Linked DNA regions of Tribolium castaneum. The protein of the gene in region 5 purifies or fractionates together with the protein of the main gene of each other region. This does not show direct contact. Links are inferred from orthologs where the notes say so. Each region holds a gene or a part of one and is shown on either strand. Other genes may lie near its edges.

What was found.
Region 1: the proteins of polo (region 5) and shtd purify together in Homo sapiens (affinity purification with mass spectrometry; 3 studies listed by BioGRID and IntAct, with this or other methods). This does not show direct contact. The link is inferred for Tribolium castaneum from reciprocal best matches to the Homo sapiens genes PLK1 and ANAPC1.
Region 2: the proteins of polo (region 5) and ldbr purify together in Homo sapiens (affinity purification with mass spectrometry; 3 studies listed by BioGRID and IntAct, with this or other methods). This does not show direct contact. The link is inferred for Tribolium castaneum from reciprocal best matches to the Homo sapiens genes PLK1 and DBR1.
Region 3: the proteins of polo (region 5) and Cep97 purify together in Homo sapiens (affinity purification with mass spectrometry; 4 studies listed by BioGRID and IntAct, with this or other methods). This does not show direct contact. The link is inferred for Tribolium castaneum from reciprocal best matches to the Homo sapiens genes PLK1 and CEP97.
Region 4: the proteins of polo (region 5) and SMC1 purify together in Homo sapiens (affinity purification with mass spectrometry; 3 studies listed by BioGRID and IntAct, with this or other methods). This does not show direct contact. The link is inferred for Tribolium castaneum from reciprocal best matches to the Homo sapiens genes PLK1 and SMC1A.
Region 6: the proteins of polo (region 5) and serine/threonine-protein phosphatase 6 regulatory ankyrin repeat subunit A purify together in Homo sapiens (affinity purification with mass spectrometry; 6 studies listed by BioGRID and IntAct, with this or other methods). This does not show direct contact. The link is inferred for Tribolium castaneum from reciprocal best matches to the Homo sapiens genes PLK1 and ANKRD28.
Region 7: the proteins of polo (region 5) and Mcm6 purify together in Homo sapiens (affinity purification with mass spectrometry; 3 studies listed by BioGRID and IntAct, with this or other methods). This does not show direct contact. The link is inferred for Tribolium castaneum from reciprocal best matches to the Homo sapiens genes PLK1 and MCM6.

The regions. Positions count from the first base shown.
Region 1 is NC_087397.1:4,714,695-4,718,736, forward strand, and holds the start of shtd (anaphase-promoting complex subunit 1), read right to left. Parts: upstream 2,801-4,042; 5' UTR 2,639-2,800; coding exon 2,615-2,638; intron 2,568-2,614; coding exon 2,207-2,567; intron 2,158-2,206; coding exon 1,753-2,157; intron 1,707-1,752; coding exon 1,414-1,706; intron 1,367-1,413; coding exon 1,218-1,366; intron 1,118-1,217; coding exon 914-1,117; intron 863-913; coding exon 673-862; intron 632-672; coding exon 471-631; intron 424-470; coding exon 26-423; intron 1-25. Other genes in the region: Caf1-105 (chromatin assembly factor 1 subunit B), read left to right, coding at 3,122-3,244, 3,292-3,672, 3,726-4,039. UniProt on the Homo sapiens protein: Component of the anaphase promoting complex/cyclosome (APC/C), a cell cycle-regulated E3 ubiquitin ligase that controls progression through mitosis and the G1 phase of the cell cycle.
Region 2 is NC_087394.1:25,730,405-25,734,169, forward strand, and holds ldbr (lariat debranching enzyme), read right to left. Parts: upstream 2,348-3,765; 5' UTR 2,276-2,347; coding exon 2,079-2,275; intron 2,033-2,078; coding exon 1,881-2,032; intron 1,838-1,880; coding exon 1,597-1,837; intron 1,487-1,596; coding exon 1,154-1,486; intron 1,042-1,153; coding exon 528-1,041; 3' UTR 501-527; downstream 1-500. Other genes in the region: ubiquitin carboxyl-terminal hydrolase 10-A, read right to left, coding at 55-190, 296-313; FAD synthase, read left to right, coding at 2,628-3,389, 3,554-3,765. UniProt on the Homo sapiens protein: Cleaves the 2'-5' phosphodiester linkage at the branch point of excised lariat intron RNA and converts them into linear molecules that can be subsequently degraded, thereby facilitating ribonucleotide turnover.
Region 3 is NC_087402.1:12,399,459-12,403,468, reverse strand, and holds the start of Cep97 (centrosomal protein of 97 kDa), read left to right. Parts: upstream 1-1,210; 5' UTR 1,211-1,309; exon of another isoform or gene 1,310-1,375; 5' UTR 1,376-1,400; coding exon 1,401-1,404; intron 1,405-1,453; coding exon 1,454-1,599; intron 1,600-1,647; coding exon 1,648-1,908; intron 1,909-3,246; coding exon 3,247-3,443; intron 3,444-3,516; coding exon 3,517-3,600; intron 3,601-4,010. UniProt on the Homo sapiens protein: Acts as a key negative regulator of ciliogenesis in collaboration with CCP110 by capping the mother centriole thereby preventing cilia formation. Required for recruitment of CCP110 to the centrosome.
Region 4 is NC_087394.1:36,167,408-36,170,564, reverse strand, and holds the end of SMC1 (structural maintenance of chromosomes protein 1A), read right to left. Parts: intron 1,723-3,157; coding exon 557-1,722; 3' UTR 501-556; downstream 1-500. UniProt on the Homo sapiens protein: Involved in chromosome cohesion during cell cycle and in DNA repair. Central component of cohesin complex. The cohesin complex is required for the cohesion of sister chromatids after DNA replication.
Region 5 is NC_087398.1:11,004,490-11,007,807, reverse strand, and holds part of polo (serine/threonine-protein kinase polo), read left to right. Parts: intron 1-1,825; coding exon 1,826-2,223; intron 2,224-2,275; coding exon 2,276-2,493; intron 2,494-3,318. UniProt on the Homo sapiens protein: Serine/threonine-protein kinase that performs several important functions throughout M phase of the cell cycle, including the regulation of centrosome maturation and spindle assembly, the removal of cohesins from chromosome arms, the inactivation of anaphase-promoting complex/cyclosome (APC/C) inhibitors, and the regulation of mitotic exit and cytokinesis.
Region 6 is NC_087401.1:12,711,891-12,715,390, forward strand, and holds part of serine/threonine-protein phosphatase 6 regulatory ankyrin repeat subunit A, read right to left. Parts: intron 2,078-3,500; coding exon 1,681-2,077; intron 95-1,680; coding exon 1-94. UniProt on the Homo sapiens protein: Regulatory subunit of protein phosphatase 6 (PP6) that may be involved in the recognition of phosphoprotein substrates. Involved in the PP6-mediated dephosphorylation of NFKBIE opposing its degradation in response to TNF-alpha.
Region 7 is NC_087400.1:6,009,953-6,012,504, forward strand, and holds the end of Mcm6 (DNA replication licensing factor Mcm6), read right to left. Parts: intron 2,545-2,552; coding exon 2,443-2,544; 3' UTR 501-2,442; downstream 1-500. Other genes in the region: transmembrane protein 181, read right to left, coding at 1-239, 289-446. UniProt on the Homo sapiens protein: Acts as a component of the MCM2-7 complex (MCM complex) which is the replicative helicase essential for 'once per cell cycle' DNA replication initiation and elongation in eukaryotic cells.

The DNA.
Region 1 (4,042 bases), on a different chromosome or scaffold from region 5:
ACGATTTAGAACGAAACCAAATTACCTAAAAGCAGCGTTTCAAACGCATTCCATTCTTGCTCGAGATTCATGTCTTGGGCCCCTGGTGCGTTCCGAGTGGCGTACCATCTGGTCAAAACCACCGAAATGGTGTCACGGTTTAGACACTGCTTTAACGCCATTACACAATTTTCAATTAGTGGGTGTGCAGTCAAGGGGGGCAGAGTGATTCTGTAGTAAGTGCCATCAGAGTATCGTAAAGTGATGCGGTTTTCGATCGGGTCACGTAAACCGTTCAGGACAGCTTTGGGCAAATTGCTTTCGTGCTGGAAGTTCAGCTGGAGGATGTTAGACACGTTTGTTGTCTCGGGTAACACCGGTGATAGCAAATGGTCGTCAAACTTGGGGTCTAGTTGTTTGCAATGGGGCAAAAGACTGCTCCGTCTGGAATGGCAAAGTTGAGCGGTTTGGAGGTTTTAATTGGGAAATACCTCGGGAAAGGTGAGTTAAACTGAGCCAGGTTGCGACGGACGTAGGGCGAGGGGGTGTGCTGGACGAGGGTGCCCCCTATGTGCAGCTTCCCCACTAGGGTAAGGCCAGAGTAGAGGCTGACGTTGCCGTTGTGTTCCAGGACGGCCAACATGTGGCACATCTTAATTACAATTAGGAAAAAATTCAATGTGTGATACTCACAGGAATAGGCACTGCGTCTTTGACACTCAAACTGTTAACCATTCCAAAGCGAATGTTACTCGGGTCTGTAAAGTCGATTTGGACTAAACACAACTGGCACTTCACTGGTAAAATGTAGCAAAGGTACCACTGGTGTGTCAAGTCGTCGCACAAAAATACTTTAGATGTGGCACTCGACATGTTATCATCTCTACAATAATCACTTGATCATTGAATATTTTTTAAATAAAAAAAACTTTACTGAGTCAAATTCGGATCAGTCCATAGGTGGTCCAAACAAATAAGAGGGTTTGTGTGCAGGTAAGACATCAGTTTAGAACAGTCGAAAAACGAACAGTTGTTTGGTGCACAATAACTGGGCCCACTTGGAATAGAAGTGTTCAAACGCGAAGCTCTCTGCAACCACGGACTTCCGATAGAGGAAGTGGCAGGTGACTGGCATCGACTATAAAGACCCAAATTACACTTTTAGTATAATTCAGTAACAAAACCGATTAACTTGCTATAATTAGTTCGTATTATAAAATTTGGAAAAATGGGTCAACCTGATTGTGGCCATTGAGCTGTGCGATTTCGAGTGGTGCATTTGGTTATAAAAACTTGCTACGCTTCCTGGCCGGCTATTGATAGGGCTGGGGACGCTTAAATAATTCGAGTTTTTTCCGCAATCCCACATTGAAAGACGACTTTTCAACTGTAATTATTAATTATCGCAAGTGTGCGACTTTTAATCTCTTTTACCCTGTTAGATAAACTGGTGGCTGAAGGGAAAGTGCTGTTCATCCTGTTTGCAAACTCTACCTTTTCGTTGATTGTTACTTTTCTAATAACGTAAACACTGTGTTGCCTGGTTTGAGTATCGTAAATCATACAAATGCTTGGATTTTCGCTGGTGTAAACCAATTTAAAACTATTATTATTCAGGACTTGGATATGTGTGCCAACATTTATTGCAACAGGACAGACCTCATCAAAGGGAAAAGCTAAGGAATAGAGCGAAGCTCTGTTTTCAAAATACGTTGTAGAATTGTGGCCTTTAAAGATTGCGTTAATAAATGAAAAAAAATGCAAAATGCAAACCTTCGTTTTCCCGTTCGAGAAAAATTCCGTACTTCGTATTCCACATTTTGCTAATTTGGAACGGGATAGCAGTGACGAAATCTTCACCTTTTTGGGTGAAAACGTGAATATTATGGGCATTTATGATGCAAATTGCAGGAACCGGCACGCCTTTAGTTTCCTCTTCTTTGTTAGAAAAAGGAAAAGCGTCGGTTTCATATCTGGGGTGCTCGCAGTGGAAAGTGCACCAAGCGGCGTGTTTTATAGGGAGAAGGGAAGTGTAAGCACAAATTGTTTTTCTACCGTTGTCTAAATTGTCACAATTGTTTAGCCCTCGGGACCACACTGCCGTGTGTCCCTTGACATAGAGTTCATCCTCCATAAAACTGACGTGACTTTTGGCAAAAGAACCCTCATAGCTTGGCCCTTGGGAATCAAAAAAAAAATAAAAATGCAAAAAATTGGTCCCACGTACCCCCATGAGCCAAGCTTTCATGCTTGAGTGAAAATTTCGAAAAACTCTCAGATATTCTCTTGCTAGTCTTTTGTGAATGATCGCAGCTTTGATAGCTGTAAGACTTGTCATTTTTACAGTCCTGATTCACACTAACTTTAGTACAAGAACTGTCTTTTGTCCCGTAGCACCAACTTGCCGCAGACTCAAACAAGGGGGTTTTCCGCAAAATCCACCATTCACTGTCTTTTTTCTCTTTTATTGAAACCTTTTCAAATTTATCAAGGAGTAGGTCCTCAGTTTGGCCTAAATTTTTTTGCGGGGGCACCCCATTGGGGCCTGGGTGTTTCAATGTTTGCTGCCGTCCACTTGGAACAAACTCCTGAAAAGTTTACGCAAAATATTGACTGAGTGAGAGCACCCACGAACCTGTGGATCTGAGGCAGCAATCATTGTTTCTACTTTCTCATCCAGATTTGCTAAATTTCAATAATGAATCAGAATGGTAACCAACATAAATCACGACTATTTTTCATTAAAAAACGCTTTTTTTAAACCGAATCGGCTCCTCTAACCTTCACAAACTTAACAGACAGCGCTGGCAATCTAAATGAAAGAAACCTAAATTTACTAGAATTTACAGACTTTACTTGAGTATTTAATTGTTAAATAGAGTATTTGCTTAATTTTTTATTAATTTGTGTTAATTTATATTCGTTCACGAAAAGGTTTGTAATTTAATTCAATTCATTCAATAGAATTGCTCATTTTTATACAAAAAAATTACATTTGTAAAAACAAAATCCCCAACGAGGAGACTAGTAAATTGGCGCCAAATGGTCGTAATATTTTTATTGGGTTGTTGTTTTGTGTAAAAAACGCCTTGTTTGTGTCTGCTACTATTCGTATTTCACAATTTAAGCCGCTAAACGTAGAATGAAGTGTTCGATACCAGAAATATCATGGCACAACCGGGAGCCCGTCTTGAGTGTTCATATTCAACCCGTTTTGGAGAAATTTTATAGGTTAGCAACTGGTGGTGCCGATTGTCATGTTTTGGTAAGCTTCGGTTTAAAAAAATTAAGTCTTGTGACGCTGTGCTTCAGATTTGGCAATTAACAATAAACGAAAACGGTAGTGTTAAAATCGAGGCTTTGTCTGATCTAACACGACACCAAAGAGCTGTGAATTCAGTTCGGTGGTCACCAGGGGGGCAGCAGCTCGCGACAGCTGATGACGACGCAAATATCATTATTTGGCAACTTAAAACCGATAATATCCCTCTACTGGAAGGAGAAACGAACGATAAAGAGACATGGATAGTGCATAAAGTAATGCGGGGGCACAAGGAAGACATTTACGACTTGTGTTGGTCACCCGATGGCTCAAAACTTCTATCGGGGTCTATAGACAACACTGCCATTTTGTGGGATTTTCAGAAAGGCAAAAATGAACAGATTTTAACCGACCACAAGGGATTTGTCCAAGTAAATTATTGCTAAATAAAAATATAGTGTTTGTAATTTTTCGAAATTTGAAGGGCGTGTCGTGGGATCCCAGAGGTCAGTTTTTGGCCACAATCAGTACCGACCGCATCTGCCGCATTTTTGAAAATACCGGTAAACAGGTGAAGGCTAGAATGCACAAGGGTCTATTACCGGTGCCGGAAGATCATTATCTTCACAACAAAGAAGTGAAATATTTTCATGATGACACGTTCAAGTCATTTTTCAGACGCTTAGATTTTTCACCTGATGGTTCTCTCCTGGCTGTTCCTTCAGGTCGCATTGAAATCGAGGATTGTAAAAAAATTCTCAACTGTACCTTGCTTTTTGCAGTAGATAACTGGGGAAGGTA
Region 2 (3,765 bases), on a different chromosome or scaffold from region 5:
TATGTTGCTTTGAATTACTTTTTATGAATATTAATCGATTGAAAAAGCACATACCGGTCTTTTGGACGACTTTATGTTCCGAAACCCTCCAAGGCAGCTGCACATTGGCATTCTCTGCATACAGAGAATCCAAAACCTCCTGTCGTTCTTGCTCATCAACCCCGCTGAGATCCAGAAATGTAATGTTGTGCTAAAACGACGAAAATAACTCAATTATGGCCAAACTCCGGCCCAAAAACCACCAAAATTATGTAAGTCTGGAGAGGTAAAAAGACCGAATTTTGATGCTACTTACTGCCTCGAATGGATCCATGATTGCGGTATCTGCTATTTCATATTTGTGATAAATTCATTTCACTGCAACTACTCGAAAGTTAACATTTTAGGAGCAATAACAAAAGTATTAAACACACGGGGTTAAGTTTTCACGTTCCATTCTGTCAACTGTCTGAATTACAAATCTAGTGACTTTGGCGTGTCATGTTGGCAAACGCAGAGCGGGCTTTTTCAATCTTTATTTACAAAAATCAATTTACATCATTTTGATACATTGACGCATTCCTCCTCTTAAACGCTTTACCGCAGTTTGGTTTTTCCTCAACCGGAACTTCCACTTCTTTACCGCAATTTGATTTTTCCTCAACCGGAACTTCCATTTCTTCAACAGTTTCGTTCAATTCCGGTTGAGAAATTGTTTCGTCCACAAACGTTGGAACACTTTCATTCACTGGTTGGGGCAAGTCCAAGACTATTTTTCTCGGTGTTGTCTTACTTGCACTATCATCACCTAAACTATTTGCACTAAGATCAATTGCAGAGTTTGTACTTAAATTAAGAATTAAATTCAACGGATCATCGATTCCCAATTTTTTACAAAACAAAACGGTCTGTGAATTACAAACTGGCACTGGTTGCGTTAAATTTTTAGTCTTATGACCGGAATAACCTTCAGCTGTTTTCTCGAAATTGTTTGGAACCACCAGATCACCAAACAGGTTCAAAGTAAACGATTTTTCCTCCTCGTCTGGAGTAAAGCACCACCTAAAAATTTTTTTTTTAATTTTGAATTGTGCCGCCATCTGTTACCATAGTTACGAAAACAAAAGACAAGTAACCATAGTAACGAAAATCCGTGATTTTGATTAAAAATTACCTCTCATTGCCACTAGGCCCTGGTAAATAATTGGTCACATTTTTAACACTTAGCAGATGATTTGTTAATCTTAAAATAGTCAACCATTCTAGATCGTAACTAATTTCAATTTTTTCCAAATTCGTGTCATGAGGTACATCAACAACTTGCAGAAACCTTCTTTTAGGAAGGCACTTATCTAGTGCAAGAAATTTGGTGATTTTGCCACACTCGTGTGGCACCACTGCGGCAAATTTACAGTGCAAATGAGCCGAAAACCAATAATCTGGCTTCAAATGATTTAGCAATTCTTCGGTTGGTTTGCTACCCAGTTGTCCTCTGCTGATATCTTCTCTAAAAAATTGATAATAATCACAAATTCGGGGAAATCTTGATTAATAAAGAAAATTTCCCTGGTGCCATGTCTTCAGAAACACAGGGAAACTTCCGTTACTGTGAATTACTCGAAAAAAGGTTTAAAACGTATTAATTGCGCCGCATTTCCATATTGCCAGATCCCCGAGGGCCAATCATGTGATAAAAAAATATCCAAAGGTTGAGACAGTTGTTTCAACCGAAAAACTTCCAAATTTCTGATGTGATAAACGCTGCGTTTTGAACTATCGCTGTAAGGCGAATGCTCAAAGTGACCTTTCATGTAATCCTGTCCTTTGTAAATCCCCGAAATGCCCCCAATTCTTAAACCTGAACAAATATTAATTAAAGAAGACAAAGTAGCGATTTTAACCTGCAATATTGACCACTCCGGCATAACCCAAGTAGTAGATGTTCGGGGCCACCCAGCCCCCATATGGCAACTCTTGCAGATAATTGGACGCTTCGTGGTTGCCCCCAATAAAAATCGTGAGAATTGGGGCTGTTTTAATCCCGGTGTAATACCTGAAATTTGGTTATTAACGCAACGAAATGGACGAACTTTGATTACTTGTAAAATGAACAAATGTTGTAGTATTTAGGGGGCACCGCCATGCACCGGAGGTCCGCTTCATTGCGAGAAGCTTGAAAGTCGCCACAACAAATGAGCAAATCGATTTTAAAGCCTTCCTTCTCTTCCAAATATTGCAGAGTGTCGTAAATTATTTCCAATTCGCCGTGGGCACAACCTTCGACCGCAATTTTCATCTCAAAATAATTTTCAAAAAAAATTGTTGGTTAAAAAAATGTTTGACAAGTCCAAGGTGAGGGAAAGTCGGCAGATGGGAAATCTGATATAAGAAAACACTAACAAAAATAATTAATTGTGCGTTAAACACACAAACAAAAGTATACATATTATACGCTGTTGTAATCTCAATGATTAAATATGTATAAAAAAAAACTTGTTAAATAAAATAATTGTTTTTTCATTTACCGTTATTCGCTTAATGTGTACAAAGTGGGGGCCAAATTTCCAACCTAACCTATAAAAAGTCAGTGTCAAAGTTGAAAAACCGTAATGTGAAAGTGTTGCGTTTGCGAGAAACTGTTGTGTGTCATGAGGCGAAAAATGTCGTTGAAGACCGTCGGTATCGTCGTAATTAGTGACGAGGTTCTTTCCGGCGAAAAAACCGACAATACTAGCAAATATCTGATCAAGGAACTGGCCTGTTTGGACTATAGTGTGGGCAAAGTCTCGACAATCAGTGAAAGAGAAGATGTGATTTTTAACGAACTTCATGCACTAATGAGGTCTTTCGACATGATAATAGCCGTTGGTGAGCGATGCGGGGTTATTTACAGAGCACTTGGCAAAATGACCTCACAAGAACTTGAAACTAGTGATGACCTAACTCGAATACTCGCAGAGATTGGCGAGAATTCGAACAAAACTGAGACCTTATTGCCGCGGCAAGCTAAAATTTTGCATTCGGGACACAGTTATCCCGTCGTTTACTTCCAGAGGATTTTTATATTGAAGGAGAAGTTTCTGAAACAGAGTTTCACCAAAGTTTTAAAGAATCATTTATTGAAGTATAGGAAAGAGAGAAACTTGCAAAAAATAATCGAAATCGTTAAAAACGGAAACTTGACAATTGATTTAAATGAATTTAAAACCAATGGTCTCCAACTGGAATTTAGCAAAACTGATAAGTGTTACACTTTCAAAGTGTCGAGTCCAGAATTGCGCGAAATGGTGGAATTTGAGAGGAAAATCAGTGACAGGTTTCAAAATTATAATTTAAAATTTATCGATAATTCAGACGTGTGGGAACACGTGTACTCCAGCAATGAAACACACATCAAACATGCAATTGAAGTAAGTAAGAGGTAAGACAGTGTACCCGCCACTGGTTTGACTCATCGTAGTTGTCACCATGACAATCCCCATTCATGTCCTGCTGTATTACCATAGTTACAGCACGTTTCTATGGCAACTGGAGGAGCCATGTGCGACTCGTCAAATAATTTTGTTTTTTCCAGAACATTGAAGAGTGTTTGCAACAGTACGGTTTAGAGAATATCTTCGTGAGTTTCAACGGCGGAAAAGACTGCACCGTTTTGCTCCATTTGGTTTTAACAGTCGTCAAGAAAAAATTTCCTCAACATTCACAACCAATTCCCTGTCTTTACGTCCAAAGTGAAAGTCCCTTTCCCGAGCAAGACGAGTTTATTGACTTGTGCAAATGCTACTA
Region 3 (4,010 bases), on a different chromosome or scaffold from region 5:
CGTACTTTACACCGTTTTTCTATCAATAAACTTTAATCATTTGAGAAAACCAAGTCATTTTCTTCGTTTGCAAATAACTCCATATTCATTAGGTGTCACTACTGCCAACTTACCCCAAATCATTAACATTTACTTAAGCACGGTGCAAGACACAACACGTACACAGTTTAAACGACGGTATAATAATGCATAAAAAGCCCCAATATGGGGGCACGTGTTGTATTGATTTCGGAGATAAATTAACAGCAAAATTGATTTTTACCAGCGCAAGGTTGGCAACTATTATGCGTCATGTCAGCTGTCAATTGATAAGGGAGCTCGTAAAACTGAAAAACAGATGCGTTCATTATCAGAACAGTACAACTGAACAACAAACCAAAATAAATCAATCATTCATTTTATTCGGTAATTTTTAGTCAATAAAAACTGAGAATTTAATTTAAACGGCACCATCTCTGACGAATTATTTTTAAAAATTTTGAACAAGTAAACCAAAAATAAATAAAATAGTCTTTTCTTCACAAAACGAATGAACCAGCTTGAAATTGTTTAGATCCAATTTTATAATCCTTTTGTGAATTCTAACAAATTCTGTCCAAAATAATGTATTATACGGACTGTATATAAAAGAGTGCAGGATCTCATGTGGTTTTGGAATTTAAATTTTCTGCATTTAATTATTTTATTTTTAAGAAATTTCTGAAAAGTACAAATTTTTATCTACTCAGGCAATCAGTAAAACCAATTTGACCAATGTTATCATATACGAGCATTGTTCGTTTTTTCTGGAAAGAAGCGGCAATCTTTTAATACCTACTACGATACCGCATTCATATAAAAACAGATGTAGCTATAACTTCAAAAACGTGCTTTAACATTAAAAAACACAATCTTTGCAAAACTAAAAGTAAAGTAATATTCAACTAATCTGAAATTTTTTTGAATGTCTGTCTATTCCAGCAGTGTCCTAAAAGAAACTTGAAATCCTAGTTCACAAACGGGCTTAAAAAGGTAACAGAGCATCATCTTAGCAAACATATAATTTTTGACTTATTTTTGACGGAATGTTTCTCAAATCGAGCGAAATCAACCAAAGCAGGCTGAACTGTTATTGATTTTTCTGACGATGACAGGCTTTAGACTTGAACGTTTTTAATTAAGTTAACCATAGGACGTGATCGTTATTGTTTATATGGAATATAATCCAACACATGCACTTACATTTTCTAACCAATAAGTTAAACTTCTATAAGTGAAAGGAACACAACGATTCCTGCTCACAATTTTAAAATGTGGAACAATTTAATAATCAGCTGATCATCGCCGTCCTTCTATTAGCGCCATCACCTACCTGTCAATAATATTTAGCAAATAAAAAAATGCGTATAAGTTAAATATAAATGGGTAAGTAAATGGATTTGTAGTGAATTTTCAATGTGATTTGCCGTTTCAGAGGAAATATCAGATTTGTCGAACAAGAAGCTCAAAAAACTCGCCAAATTCTCGCCTCAGGAATCGCAAGTGATAACAACATTGATACTCGACGATAACGAACTGCAACGTTTGGATAACATCGACTCGTTGTTTCGGCTACAGAAGGTAAAATTGTAGCTTTAAGTGCGCGACGTTTTAAGGGCCCCCTTGTAGCTGTCAGCAGTGCGCAATCAATTGTTGCGCATGTATGGCGTATGTCGCCTCCATTCTCTGCACACTTTGAATCTCGCTCATAACGGAATACTCACAATCGAGGGGCTCAAGGATCTGGTTAATTTAAAGTGGCTTTGCTTGGCTGGGAATAGTATAAAAACTATTGAACATCTCAATACTAACACGAATTTAGAGCATTTAGATTTGTCGGAGAATAACATTACGCACATCAATGATTTAGCATTCTTGAAAGATTTAAAGGTTAGTTCATAGCTTGCTTGATAATTGAGTTTCTCTTAAATGTGGCGCCATATTGTGTTGTTACCATGGTTACCGTATCGTAACCATGATAATTGTAGAACGTGGCACCCTCTTTCGGGAAATTTCGTGCGGTGCAGAGATAAGGTAAGATAGACTGGCAGCTTTCTCACTCTAGATAAGCAACAAGAGGTACATACTGCCCTTCTTATCAACTGGTGTGTACTTATTTTTCAGTGGCCTTATGTTCAAATTTAAAAAATACGAACAGTTAAAATTAACAGGAGGAAAGAAAGGTTAAAAAAAACATTCAGCGTTGAATGTTAAACTCATCGTACTTCTAAATCATCTAACTGAAGAATTTCATAAATGGGAAGACAATACAATAATGAAATTATTTTTGCTATACTTACAGCGTGATTCAAACGTATCCAACCAACTCTCGTATGGTGATATGCGTCGTTCAGTAAAGAAAGTCCATTTTTTCCAAGCAACTTGCCATTTAATTTTTAATATATTTTTGTATTTGTTTTCCTTAGCAGCTATTTTAATTGTTGTTCTTTTGTTTTTAGTCATGTCAGATTTAAATTATTATATAATTTGCCAAATTTACGTGTATTAAATGATTGGAATATCGCTGATTGGTGATTTTTTAACAGATGTCCGTTTAATGATTGCATGATTTGTCGTTTTCGCTAAATAAATTAAAAACAATTTGACCTGAAAACCTCAAATCTAAAAACCTAACTTTGGAAAGCTACGATATATAGCGTGAAAAAAGGTTCACACAATTTTTTGCCATAGGAACTTTGACTCTGATGTTTTTTATAGCTGCCCAAGAGACGATTCGAGACTTTTGAATCACCGTGTGTATTCCATTTCGGCTCATAGTAAAATTGCAACCGCGCATTTGTATTTTTTGGAGAGAAAAATGAAGTACAAATTGAAAGTTTCTGTATAAGAAAAAGAATTCTGTGTTAAACTAAATCCCAACGACACACTTTGAGAAACTCTCAATTTGTGCTCCATTTCATTCAAAAAATGCAAATGCGCTGTTGCAAAATTCTACTATAAATAATCTATAATAACTAATTTTGAGAGAAAATGCGACGTTGGCGTTTTTATAGTTTTGAGAAAGCGTATAAAATGTATTTAAAAAATCTATTCGATTTGCTGTTGTTTCAGAAAGTATTGTAAATTTATATTACCTTGTCTCTGTGTGAAATTTTCTTTTGGCGCCATCTTCTCTCGTTAGCATGGTGATCAGATACATGTAACCATGCTAATTGTTGAACCTAGCGCCCTCTTTCGGGAAATTTTGTTGTGATTGTTTGATTTTAGGAGCTTTTTCTACACAATAACAAAATTAATCATCTTAGACAGAGTGATCGTTTCCTGCCTACTAGTTTAATAACCCTGACTTTGGCTAATAATAACATTGAGGATTTGAATGAAATTTCTCAGCTTGTTCATCTTGTTAATCTACAAAATATTTCCATCGCTAATAACCCTTGTGTTAACTTTGGCAACACTAACATGTATCCTTTGTGACATTGCTTATATTTTGTTTGCTCATTTTTATTGTTTATTCAATTTCTTAACTTAATCCAGTGGATTTGATTACCGTCCGTTTGTGATCAACTGGTGTTTGAACATTAAAACAATTGATGGTTATGTAGTGGATGCTATTGAAAGGTAAAAACTTGCAGCAAGCCACTTTTTGACATATGATGGTCTATTATGTTTGCAACCTTTAATTATTTACAAATAATCACAGTTTTAATAAAAAAAAGTAAAAAAAAACATTAAAAATCGAAAGAGGTTTTATTGACTTCTAAATCTCTTTAAAATTTCGAGATTCTGATTGAAACAATTTTATTCTTAGTTGTTTATCTTACGCTGATGCATCTAAAAATTACACTTGCCATCTAAAAAAAGCACCAAATTGTTAGACTTGATTTAAATATTTTCAGTAGTATAAGTTAAAGATATTTTTTGTTTAAAGTGTTCATCACATTTTTCGCTGAAAAAACGCTCAAAAAAAAGTCAAAAAGATTGTAATTTTAGACTTTATTTGGTAATGTTCTGGTTTGTTAGTGCATGAA
Region 4 (3,157 bases), on a different chromosome or scaffold from region 5:
TTCCATATGAAAAGTGGGGCACAGGTTCAGCTTCGAGCTTTTCTAACCTCAACATTTTTTGCAATAGTTTTCCTCAAAAGTTGTAGGGTATGTTCTTAGGGCTTTATTTATCATACTTATAGGCTAAAAACAATGAAAAATAACACAATTTTGCGCTATTATCAATAATTACAAATTCACAATTCGCTCGAATTGGATTTGCTGCCAAGTCTCATTTGTTCGAATTGGAATTTAGGTGGCCGTGGTCTACGTTATCAAGCTTTCGCAGTTAATGGAAACTTGAAAAGTATGTTTTTTATTTAAACAAACAAGATTAAAATGTAGCGATCTTTATTGCCACGAATTGTATTTGTTTTAGCTCCGAAAAATTCGAAAAATCCGAAAAATTTTGATTGTCAAAACTTTATGTACTTTTCTGCTATTTTATCGGTTCAAGACTTCAGTGCTAATACTAGAAATGTAGAAGCAAACATTTCCTAGACTTGATAAGCTCCCCAAAATAGTACACAAAGTTTTATTGAAAGCTCGAAACGTAAAAACATAAATTAAACAATACTTATGGATATTTCGTTAAATCAACTGTTAGAACCTGACTGACTAAACATTCAGCCGGCTGAGGACAAATCCCAATCAAAGAATCAGCATGCGAATAAAATTCCTCCTTCAACGAAATAACTATAGTCTGCAAAGACTCAGTCTTGCCCCTTATATACTTGGCCACTTTTCCTATATTGGTATTATCCAAGGCAGCATCGACCTCATCAAGCACAAAAAACGGTGCCGGTTGATAACTATGTATCGCAAAAAGCAACGCCAAAGCTGCCACTGTTTTCTCACCACCTGACAGGTTCGACATTGGCTGAAACCTCTTCCCTGGAGCCACACAATTGTAATTAATCCCATCCAAATAGGGCTCTTCTGGGTTTTCAGCGCCCAGAAACGCCTGAGCTGACTGATTCTGTGCCAAAGCTTTGTAAATGTTATCGATTTCGTTCGACACGTGATCAAAACACCGCGTGAAACGTTCATACCGTTGCTGTTTCATTTTCTCAAACGCTGCTTTCGCTTTCTTATTCTGCTTACGCAAGTTCTCAAACTCCTCGTTCGTCGATTGGAGTTTCCCTTGCGCGAGCTCGAGCTTCTGAATCGCTCGCATGTTAGGCGCTTGAATTTTGGTCAAAGTGTCTTGGAGACTCTTAATCGAGCTGAGGAGTTTATCTGCCATTTTCTTAATCTCGTCTTTTTCCTCCAGGTCTTTGAGACTGTCTGACAACATGTTGTAGTCGATTTTAATCCTCGCTTCTTTCTCGTATTGTTGAACTGTGCTACTTGTGTCCCCTGACGAGCTTTGGGACGGGTCTGAGGCCACTATATCTTCCATGTTGCCCACAATCATAGGAATAGCCACATCGTCCATTTTGCACTGCATTAAAATTGCGTGGCGTTCGCTTTTTTTGCCTTCGATTTTTGTTTCGAGAGAGACTACGGACTTCTGGGCGGCTTGCACGTCTTTCGCAATGCTTCCCACTTCTCTGCGTGCTTTTCCCAGCTCTTCTTCCATACCATCGACTTCCTGCTTCTTGTGGAGTCGCTGTGCTTTCAACTGCTCGACTTGTTGCAAGTCTTTGTCGATTTCTTCGCGTTGCTTCTGCTCCTGTTTCTTGCACGTTTCCAAACGTTCTTCCTCGTCGTTTACGGTGCGCTCCCAACGGCTTACATTATCTGAAATGTTTACCATTATTTACATTTACAAATAATAATTATAAACCAGTTTCAATTATTTTATGACTAACTTAATTCTTCAGAAGTACAATATTTTTTCAAACAACCAAAATGGTTTTCCGAACGGTCGTTTCATTGAAAGAGCTTTTTTCCAAGCGATTGACAATAATTATAAAAAAAAATTAATTCTAATTGTTAAAATTTATTTTTGTTAGGATTATAACTGTAATTATGTTTTACGTTATTATATTTTTATGTTATGTATTTAAATTTTATTCTTCATTTAAAATTCATGTCAACTTTAACTCAAAACTCTATTTCATAAATATTTAAAAATTAATTCCCCTTTAAGTTTAAAGCCACAATTTTCGCCCATTAACATATTTAATTTTCCACTTAAATTATATAACAAATAAAAAGCAGCAGTACTTCGTCTGAGACTGAAGATGATATAATTTGAGAAAAAATTACTTCCAAATTTACGACTTTTTTCAAAGATTGTAAATAATACAATGGTTCGAAGGTGTTAATGAAAAGGCTGATTTAGAGAACGAAGATTTTTTTTTTAATAATAGATTCAAATTACAGAGCATTTTGCTGGGTTTAAAATAATTAATTACTAATATTCTTTTACATTTGTTCCCAATTCTAAAGTATAATTTTGTGTTCGGAATATCCCGTATTTTTTCTGTAAGATGGCACTGTTTCAAAGTATTTTTTAGCCCTTTCCAAGTTTTTTACGTGTAAACATAACTATAAAAACACAAAAGTATTTTAAATAATTATAAACCAGTTTCAATTATTTTATGACTGACCCAATTCTTTAGAAGTACAATATTTTTTCAAACAACCAAAATAGTTTCCTGAACGGTCGTTTCATTGAAAGAGCTTTTTTCCAAGTGATTGACAATAATTATAAAAAATTTATTAATGCTAACTGTTTAAATTTATTTTAGTTAGGATTATAACTGTAATTATGTTTTACGTTATTAAATTTTTGACCATATGTAGTTTTTATCATGAATAAAGTGAAATTTTATTCTACTTATTTATTTAAATTTAATTCTTCATTTAAAATCCATGTCGAATTTAACTCAAAACTCTGTTTCATAAATATTTAAAACCTAATTCCCCTTCAAGTTTAAAGCCACAATTTTCGCCCATTTAATTTATTTAATTCCCTACATAAATTATGTAACAAATAAAAAGCAGCAGTACGTCGTCTGAGACTGAAGATGATACAATTTGAGAAAAAATTACTTCAAAATTTACGACTTTTTTGAAAGATTGTAAACAATACAATGATTAGAAGGTTAAATTAATGAAGAGGCTGATTTAGGAAAAAGATTTTTTTTTAATAAAACGCAAATACTATGTTAGAAAGTTTCAAATTACAGAGCATTTTGCTGGGCTTAAAATAATTAATTACTAATAT
Region 5 (3,318 bases):
GATGTAAATTGTCGTACTTTATTTTAACAATTTATTTACCTAAAATTTATATTTTAAGTGTCGTGTAAAATGAGTAGCTACAAACTTATCTGATATAATGCTGAAATTACCAAAAATTGACAGTTTTTCTGTAAAAGAAAGTGAAAAAAGTTTAATCTGTAAATTTGCCAACCAATTCAACTAAACTGGAGCTTAGAGCACAGGACAGACATAGCTACAAGAAGTAAAGATTATTGTATTTTTTAAAATGTTTTTTTTTAATTCATTAATTTTATTTCAAATTTAAAACTTTAGTTTTTTACAAAAAAGGCTAATAAGTTAATAATACTCTTAAAATAGAATTTTTGTAGAATATAAATAAGATGGGTGAATATTAAGGTAAATTATGAATGGGGGCTGTAATGGGGGCCCGCGAATGAGTTTGGATCCCACGCCCCAACTGGTATCCTTACGCCACTGGTTGACATACTAAGTTTTTTTTCGAAAAACTTCACTAAAATGGACTGAAAAATTACAAATTGATCTTATTTTGTCAATTTAATTCGTTTTTGAACCTGAAACTCATTTATTGATTTAAAAAACTCAAAATAAAAATGATGGATGATGTTGTGTCTGTTTCACTCGATTTTGTTGGTTCTTGAGCGAAATTTTTTGTAAAATTATCTCAAAAATGTTATAATTTTCTCAAAAACGGAGTCATTGCCATTTTTTTTGATTTTTTAAACAGGGTTTTGAGTTTCTTACATAAATATATTGAGCAGAAAAATGACCTAATTGGGCAAAAAAAGAATTTTTTTTTAATTTCTGGGTTTTATTGGCACGTTTTTAATGCAGAAGCGTTGTTATTAATTATTATTTCACAAAATTGTCAACAAAAAGCCAAAAAATCAAGGAAAAATTTCGCGCTTATTCTGCAGCAACCGTTGCATTAAGCATCTGTTGCTTTAATTTTTTTTGCTGTTGATAAGTAAGTAATTGCTGGACGCTGTTTTCAAAACTGCAGACAGATTTTTTCTTTCAGTTCTAGTTTTGAGGTAAAAGGACACAACTTTAATTAGACATTAACTTTTCTGTTGCGTCAGATTTTTTTCGCTGTTCTTGGACGCTGATTTCAAAACTGCCTACAGTTTTAAATGTATCTTTAATAAAAAAGATGATTTTCCTCCGATTAATGCTAGTTTTCGAGAAAATAATCGATTCCCTAGATCATTTTACATTTGTTTACAGTAAAACAATACCACTTTTTTTAGTTTTGCCGTAATTGCTGTTTGAAACTTGAGTGTGAATATTTATACGAGTTTTTGATATTCATCGGGCAATAACTCCGGAATTAATACACGTAACTCTATTAAATTTATTAGTAAATTATTAAGAACATTTCCATTTTCTCGACGCTAATCGATTCCCAGATTATTTTACATAGTAAGTCTACGTTAAAATAGCAAAAAAATAATATAATTAAAAAGTGGCGAGATATTTTTTTCTACGACCTTTAGTTTTTGTGATATAAGTAGCTCCTATTAGCACTTTCTACACTCTTCATAAGCCCTAAAATAAAAACTCGAGCTGATGGACAATCAACTGTTAAATTTACGGCAACAGACAAAAGTGAAATTTTGTAACCAGTGAATTAATAATTGAATCATCTTCACTTTTGTTCCGTGTTTTGTTACCTTATACGTAAAATTGTAATCATTTCAAAACCACAACCAGTTTATTATCTCTGATAATTTGTATTCTTTGATTTGCCATGAGCGAATTTTTAATATACCAAAAAAAAATGCATTGAAATATGTGCTGTAATTTCGGTTATTTTTTCCTGTAGTCTATGATGGAGTTGCAAAAGCGCCGAAAAATGCTCACCGAGCCCGAAACTCGCTTCTACATGCGTCAAATCCTGAACGGAGTAAGTTACCTCCACCAGAGGCGCATCATCCACCGCGATCTCAAACTCGGCAATCTCTTCCTCAACGATGAACTGACGGTGAAAATCGGCGATTTTGGTTTAGCCGCAACGATAGAATACGAAGGCGAACGCAAAAAAACCCTTTGTGGTACTCCGAACTATATCGCACCGGAAATCCTCCAAAAGAAGGGCCACTCATTCGAAGTGGACATCTGGTCCATCGGGTGCATCATGTACACACTCCTGGTGGGCAAACCACCGTTTGAGACACGTTCGCTTAAAGAAACGTACTCAAGGATTAAGAAATGCGAATATCAGTGCGTTGAAGGGATTTATCGATTTTTTATTGTTTTAAAAATTGAATTTTAGTTTCACGACGACTATTTCTCCAGCGGCGAAGAGCATGATTATGCTCATGTTGCAGTCAGATCCGAAATCGCGTCCAAAAGTAACCGAATTGCTACAACACCCGTTTATTACCGATGGGTATTGTCCGTCTTCGTTGCCGGTCAGTAGTCTGACGATGGCACCCAGGTTCCAGAAATATGACGTGTCGATGAGGAAACCGCTTAGTGGAATCAACAACGGTAAGGGACAAATTCTCATATTCGTCAAAATCACACAATTTCTCAAGCTTTCTGGGCAAAGTTTAACCCATCTTTATAAGTAAACCGTTCATTAGAATTTTTTTTTGAAAGTTACATTACATTTTTGCTAGAAATTGGCGAAATTCAACTGTTTCTAAACGTAGTACCTTTTATAAATAAAATTGAGAGAATTTTAGAACTATATCATTGATATTTTCGAAAATCTGTTCAAAATCTGTACGAATTATTATGTAGTTTTATTGGTTAATTTATTGTTATAAGTTGTACACTGATGAAGAAATGATAAACAATAATACAATTAAATAAACTGATGACAGAAAAATAAAAAAAGATTAAAAACACATCAAAGACTTTACTTAATCTGCTATTGTTTTTAACCGAAATTTCGCCAAGAATAACCTGAAATAAGTGAAATATGTTATAATTTCCTAAAGAAGTAGTCAATTCTATATTTTTTTAAATTTCTGAGTTTCTTTCCTAAATATACCGAGCTGAAAAATTAATCTAATTGGGTCAAAATATTTGTTAATTTATTCTAATAAGTTGTACACTGACGCCGAACTAAAAACTTAAGAAAATGATAAACAATAACACAATAAATTGAACAGATGACAGAAAAAAAAACAAAAAGATTAAGAATGCATCAGAGACTTGACTTAATAGTTGGCTTGATAATTGTATGTTGTTAATTTAAAATTGAGAATTAGAATGAAATGCAGCTTAGTATTTAATAAAACTAAAAAGTAATGGGTTGTACACAGAGTTATCAGGTCAGGTCAGGTCAAGTTTTGAAACCAATTTAAT
Region 6 (3,500 bases), on a different chromosome or scaffold from region 5:
GGATCAAAGGCGTCAAGCCCTGCTCAGTTTGCAAATTCACGTCGTGGTAGTAACTCAAAATTGCACGCATTACGTTAATATTGCCCAGTTTTGCCTAAAAATAACACAATTCAGAAATAAAATTAACTAGACGCCCTCTGGTGATGACATTTGAACTATGCCGAAAACAGTAACGAAATTTACGTAATGCCACATTTAACTGACATTTAATGAATTGTTCAACAATTTTGCGTGTATAGTGTTAATTACTTACAATAGAAAGAATCACTTTAAAAGTACGTGGTGGTAAATACTAGCGTTGACTTTGGTTCTGTAGTTTTTCGAAGTATAAAGTGTTTATTGTTGGAACTTGAAAGTGGATAAAAAGTGAAAAATATTTAAATTTTGATTACAAAGTGTTATTAAACAATTGTCTAATTAAAGATTATAAGTAATGGATCACAGCGAACATAAAGTTTGGCTCAAGAAACCAATAAATTAGTGAAGTGTGTGAATTTTAGGTTAGAATTTTCCACTGAATAAATCATGAAATGCTGCGGTAAATCTACAAAACTACAATAAAGATTAACAACTGCTGATACATTTAAACGTAAATTATGCCAAAAGGTAGGCTTTTCAATGTCTTTGTAATAATTTTCCAATAAAGAAAGTGAACAAAACAGTCATTCGTTATTCGTGTTTTCCTCGTCATCTCTCATTTGTCAACATAAGTTTCTTGCATCAAAGATACGATAATCATTCCGCATAGGCAATGCAATAATTGTGAAGCCCCAAAAATCGTACAACGCTCAAAATATCCGAATAAACATTTTCCCGCCATCTATGGTTACTGTTTTCGACCTAGCTCAGTGGCACCCCCAACGGTAATTTTACTTCCGAATTCGGAAATAAAATTAACTAGACGCCCTCTGGTGATGACTTTTGAACTATGTCGAAAACAGTAAAGAAATTTTTGTAATGCCACATTTAACTGACATTTAATGAATTGTTCAACAATTTTGCGTGTATAGTGTTAATTACTTACAATAGAAAGAATTACTTTAAAAGTACGTGGTGGTAAATACTAGCGTTGACTTTGGTTCTGTAGTTTTTCGTGGTATAAAGTGTTTATTGTTGGAACTTGAAAGTGGATAAAAAGTGAAAAATATTTAAATTTTTATTACGAATTGTTATCAAACAGTTGTCTAATTAAAGATTATAAGTAATGGATCACAGCGAACATAAAGTTTGGCTCAAGAAACCAATAAATTAGTGAAGTGTGTGAATTTTAGGTTAGAATTTTCCACTGAATAAATCATGAAATGCTGCGGTAAATCTACAAAACTACAATAAAGATTAACAACTGCTGATACATTTAAACGTAAATTATGCCAAAAGGTGGCTTTTCAATGTCTTTGTAATAATTTTCCAATAAAGAAAGTGAACCAAACAGTCATTCGTTATTCGTGTTTTCCTCGTCATCTCTCATTTGTCAACATAAGTTTCTTGCATCAAAGATGCAATCATTCCGCATAGGCAATGTAATAATTGTGAAGCCCCAAAATTCGTACAACGCTCAAAATATCCGAATAAACATTTTCCCGCCATCTATGGTTACTGTTTTCGACCTAGCTCAGTGGCGCCCCCAACGGTAATTTTACTTCCGAATACTGGAAGGGTTCATATGGTTCATAAACCCACCGCTAGATGGAGTGGAGTCACATCGGGCATGTCTGGCTCTTGGAAAATCATCGAATTGTTAATCACTCCCAACAGGCGGCTAACTCCAGCTATGTTGCCTCCAGCCAAGGCATAATGAATTGGGGTGAAACCACGCCGATCCTTGACGAAAGGATCGGATTTGTGTTCTAGGAGGTATTCAATGCATTTGCCTTCGGTGTCGTAACCACAGGCTAAGTGTAGGGGAGTACAGCCCTCCATGTCAACAGCATTTGTCGAACTTCCGATACCAACAAGTGTGAAAACACACTGGTAGTGGCCTTGGGAAGCGGCATAGTGCAAGGGAAGACGGCCGATGTTGTCTTTTAGTTGAAACTTGGCACCGTTGCTCACAAGCAAATCCAAACATTCCACCGAACTGGAATTTGAATACACATTTTTGGAAGGACTAAAGTTAATAACTAATTCTGTATTGAAACAAATAGTGTTTTCTGGGAATGTTAAAAAAATAATCGAAAGGAATCTTAAAAAAAAAATCAAGTAATAAATATACTGAAGCTCCGGTTTCTTCAATGAAAGTTGAATTTATTTCCACAGAAACGATTGTTATAATCATAATAACTGTTCCTTTTTAAAAACAAATAATTTTCAAAGAAATACATTTTGAAGAATGAACAAATACAGGAGATCTGTAAAAAAAGTTAAAAATTTTGAGGAGTGATTTTGTCTTTACAGAGTCTTAGGTTAAAATAAGAAAAAAAAGTTTCTATAGACCTATGGTCGGAAATGTTTTCTGATTTTCTTTGACTGAGAGAACAAAGAAAGAAAGGAGACATGAAAGATAGCAGAAGTGGGATTTAAGGAAGAAAAGAAAACGGAAGAAGAAGAGTAGAAAACAGCGATGCACAAATCAAGAACATTAGAAATAAGAAAAAAATTTCTACAGACGAATGTCCATAAAAACTTCGTGATTTTCTGTGACTGAGAAAACAGAGAAAGGAAAACAGTAAACAGAAAAAAGACAGTAAGTAAAGAAGCCGTGAAAGATAACACAACTGGAGTTTAAGAAACGAGACAATGGAAGATAAAAAAATTGAAAAAGAAGAAAAAAGTGTAGAGAACAGTGGCATGCAAATCAAGAACACAATCAATAAGAAAAAAAGTTCCTCTAGATCTACGTCCACAATTATTGCTTCCTGATTTTCTTTGAAAACCGAGAAAGGAAGGCAGTGAATAGAAAGAAGTAAGTAAATAAAACAGGAGAGATAACAGAAGTGCAAGTTAAAAAAGAAGAGAGAATTGAAGATAAGATTGAACAAAGAAAGAAGGAAGGGGAAGAAAGAGAGAGAAAGTGGAACGCAAACCAAGAACATAAAAAAATAAGTAAAAAAGTCAAAGAAAATCAGAAACCAGAAACCAGAAAAATCTGGATATGGGTCTATAGATCTATGTCCGGAAATGATTTCTGATTGTCTTTGACTGAGAAAACAGAGAAAGGAAGACAGTAAACAGAAAAAAATAAGTAGTGAAAAAGACAGGAATTATAACAGAAGTGATTTAAGAAAGAAGAAAGAAGGAATAGGAAGAAAGGAAGAGTAGAGAACAGCGATACGCAAACCAAGGACATAAGATATAAGAAAAAATCTTCTATAGACCTATGATCAAGAATGATTCTTGACTTTCTCTAACTGAGAACAGAGAAAGGAAGACAGTAAAGAAAAAAAAATAATGAATGAAAAACCGAAGAAATAACAACTGGGATTTAAGAAAGAAGAGAGAAGGAAGAGGAAGAAAGGAAGGTAGAGAACAGCTATATGCAAACCATGAACATAAAAAAATAA
Region 7 (2,552 bases), on a different chromosome or scaffold from region 5:
CCCACAATTGCTGCGAATAGGTGACTAGTGACGGAGTCTTCATTATAAAAGGGCCAGTCGCTATCGAATTACTGTGATTATCTTTACTTAACAATGTTTTAGCGTCGAGTTCAGTTGTACTTGTTATAGGAGGCCCAGCGATCCCTATGAACAGTGCAAGGCCAAAACAGGCAAAAAATGCTATAAACACCATAACAAACTCCCTCTTATGCATCGAATATAAGCGCATATAAACCGATCTGGAATTTCGCTCCTTGAATTTTTTTTTTTTGGTAAATTTAGACTAACCTTTCACATCGATCGTGGTGATATGCCGGGGCTATGTATTTATCAAATTCGCTAAACAAGTCACTGAATTGTGACAGGACGTTTCGGATTTTTAAAAGCCAGCCGCCGGAAGGCAAGTGGTAGGAATATCCGAGACCAACTCCGTCTAATTTTGCCATTTTTCTAGAAATGATTGTGAAGGGAAAATTTTTGGACGGGTTATTGATACGCACCTAGATTTTAATTTGGGATAAATTATTCAAGTATAAAGCTTAATCTAGATCAACTGATTTGTTGTAATAGGTAAAAAATAGTGTACCAACAGGTAATTTGTACAATACTGGAAGGTTTGCTCGCATGGCGGGTTTATTGATCTGCGCTAAGGCTAAACGCGACAAAGTGATGGGCAGTCTTCCAAATGTTGTTTCATGAGCATTTTGAACAAAAACTAGCGCAAAAATGTATTAATATAAACAGTTTTTCGAAAACTTTCCATAATTTTGTGAAAAAAAAACATCAATAAATTCTACCAAAAAATCTGATAATGCGTGACTTTATGTCCAAAGCTTCCAATTTTTAACACTTCAGGCCTTATCTTTTGATAAAAAAGCTATTAAGTAATATATGGTTATGTATAAATGAGATCAAAGCTGATCTATCTGTGTCAACTATTATAATTGACAAAGATAAAATTAAAAAAGGCTTTTATGCAGGAAATGTTTAAAAGTAAAAAAAAAGAATGTTTTCCATGTTTTTTAGGACAAAAAAACATCTTTGCTTACACACAAAACATTTTTTGAAAGATTCTATACGGTTTTTAAGGTTTTTTATTCAAAATTTCTTTTTTTCCTGTTTTTAAAGAATATAAAACTTTGGTTTCGGCTAAAAAACATCTTTTTGACCTTCGGCACACTCAGTCCGTGAACGTACAGATTTCATATCAATGAATAGATATAATTATCTTTATTTTATTTTTTTGTGCGTTTTTTTTTTAAATTCATCCTCCATCCTTGGGTAAAACTGTTGAAAATATTTAATTATTATTAAATGACAAAACAGCGCTTCCTGTAATATCAATTTTATTAAGCTCGTTTTATTATTAAGTTTTATTTATGCTGTCAATTATTATTATACAGGGTTGGGCAAAAGTATGGAACCAAGCGTTTTTTGCCTAAACTATGTACCTTACGAAAAAAATAATTAGTACATCATCAACTACTTTTAAAATGTGATTACTTTTCAAGAAAATTTTTTTTCGAAATTCCGTTTAGTTTTTGAGTTATCCAAAAAAATATATTTTTTTCAAATGGCACCCTACTACGGCGATTTTTTTTGGTAAAAGATTATGCTCTAAAAATCACCTCTAAATCAATAATTTTGTTTTTAAAATTGTGTAATTTTAATGAATTACTAAAGTTGTGTTCCGAGCTCAAGGTTTTTCAAAAATCTCTTCGGCCAAATTCGGAAAATCGTCGTAGTAAGCTCGGAACACAATGTAAATCAATTATTAAAAAAAACACTGATTGAAAAATAATATTATTAAATTAGAAGTCATTTTTAGAGCATAATCTTTTATACAAAAAAATTGCTGCAATAAAGTGCCTTAAAAAAAATTAAATAAGTAACCTTCAAAATAAATACAATAACATCTAAGGGTGCGCTAAAAGTATCCCGAAAAAAATTGAGAACAATTTATTATCTTAGGGGTTTATACAGGGTGAGTCAATAATGAGTTATTTCTGAATTTTTGTTAATATGCAACCAATAATACTGATTCCAGCTGACCAGATCGGTACTCATTTAAAAATTTCAAAATTTATCCCCAATTACATTGTTCTGAAGATAAAAAACCAATGTTGATTCAATTGATGTTTTTAAAAATTAGTCATTTGTCATTTGTTTCAAAAAACTTCTTGTACTCTCCATTAAAAAAGCAATATTATTTAACAATAACTGTTACTACTGTTTGGGTGCTTAAGTAAAATCAAAAAGCCCTTTATTATCAACTGTTTTCCAATTAAAATAAAATACTAGAAAAAAATAGTCTACCAATGATAACACTTGGTAAGTTATTCTCGTTTGTTTTTTTCCAAAATTATGGAGTAAAACTTAAAAAGGGGCAAATTATTAAAAAACTTATTAGTACTTAACTTTTATTAAAAAAAATAGGTACACTCAATCGATAATATAATTGGGATGAACCACCAACATGGCATCCTCCTCCTCCTGCTGATCCCTCCCAAGCCCCGTCCTCGTCAAGGGAATAATAACTTGATCCTAAAACC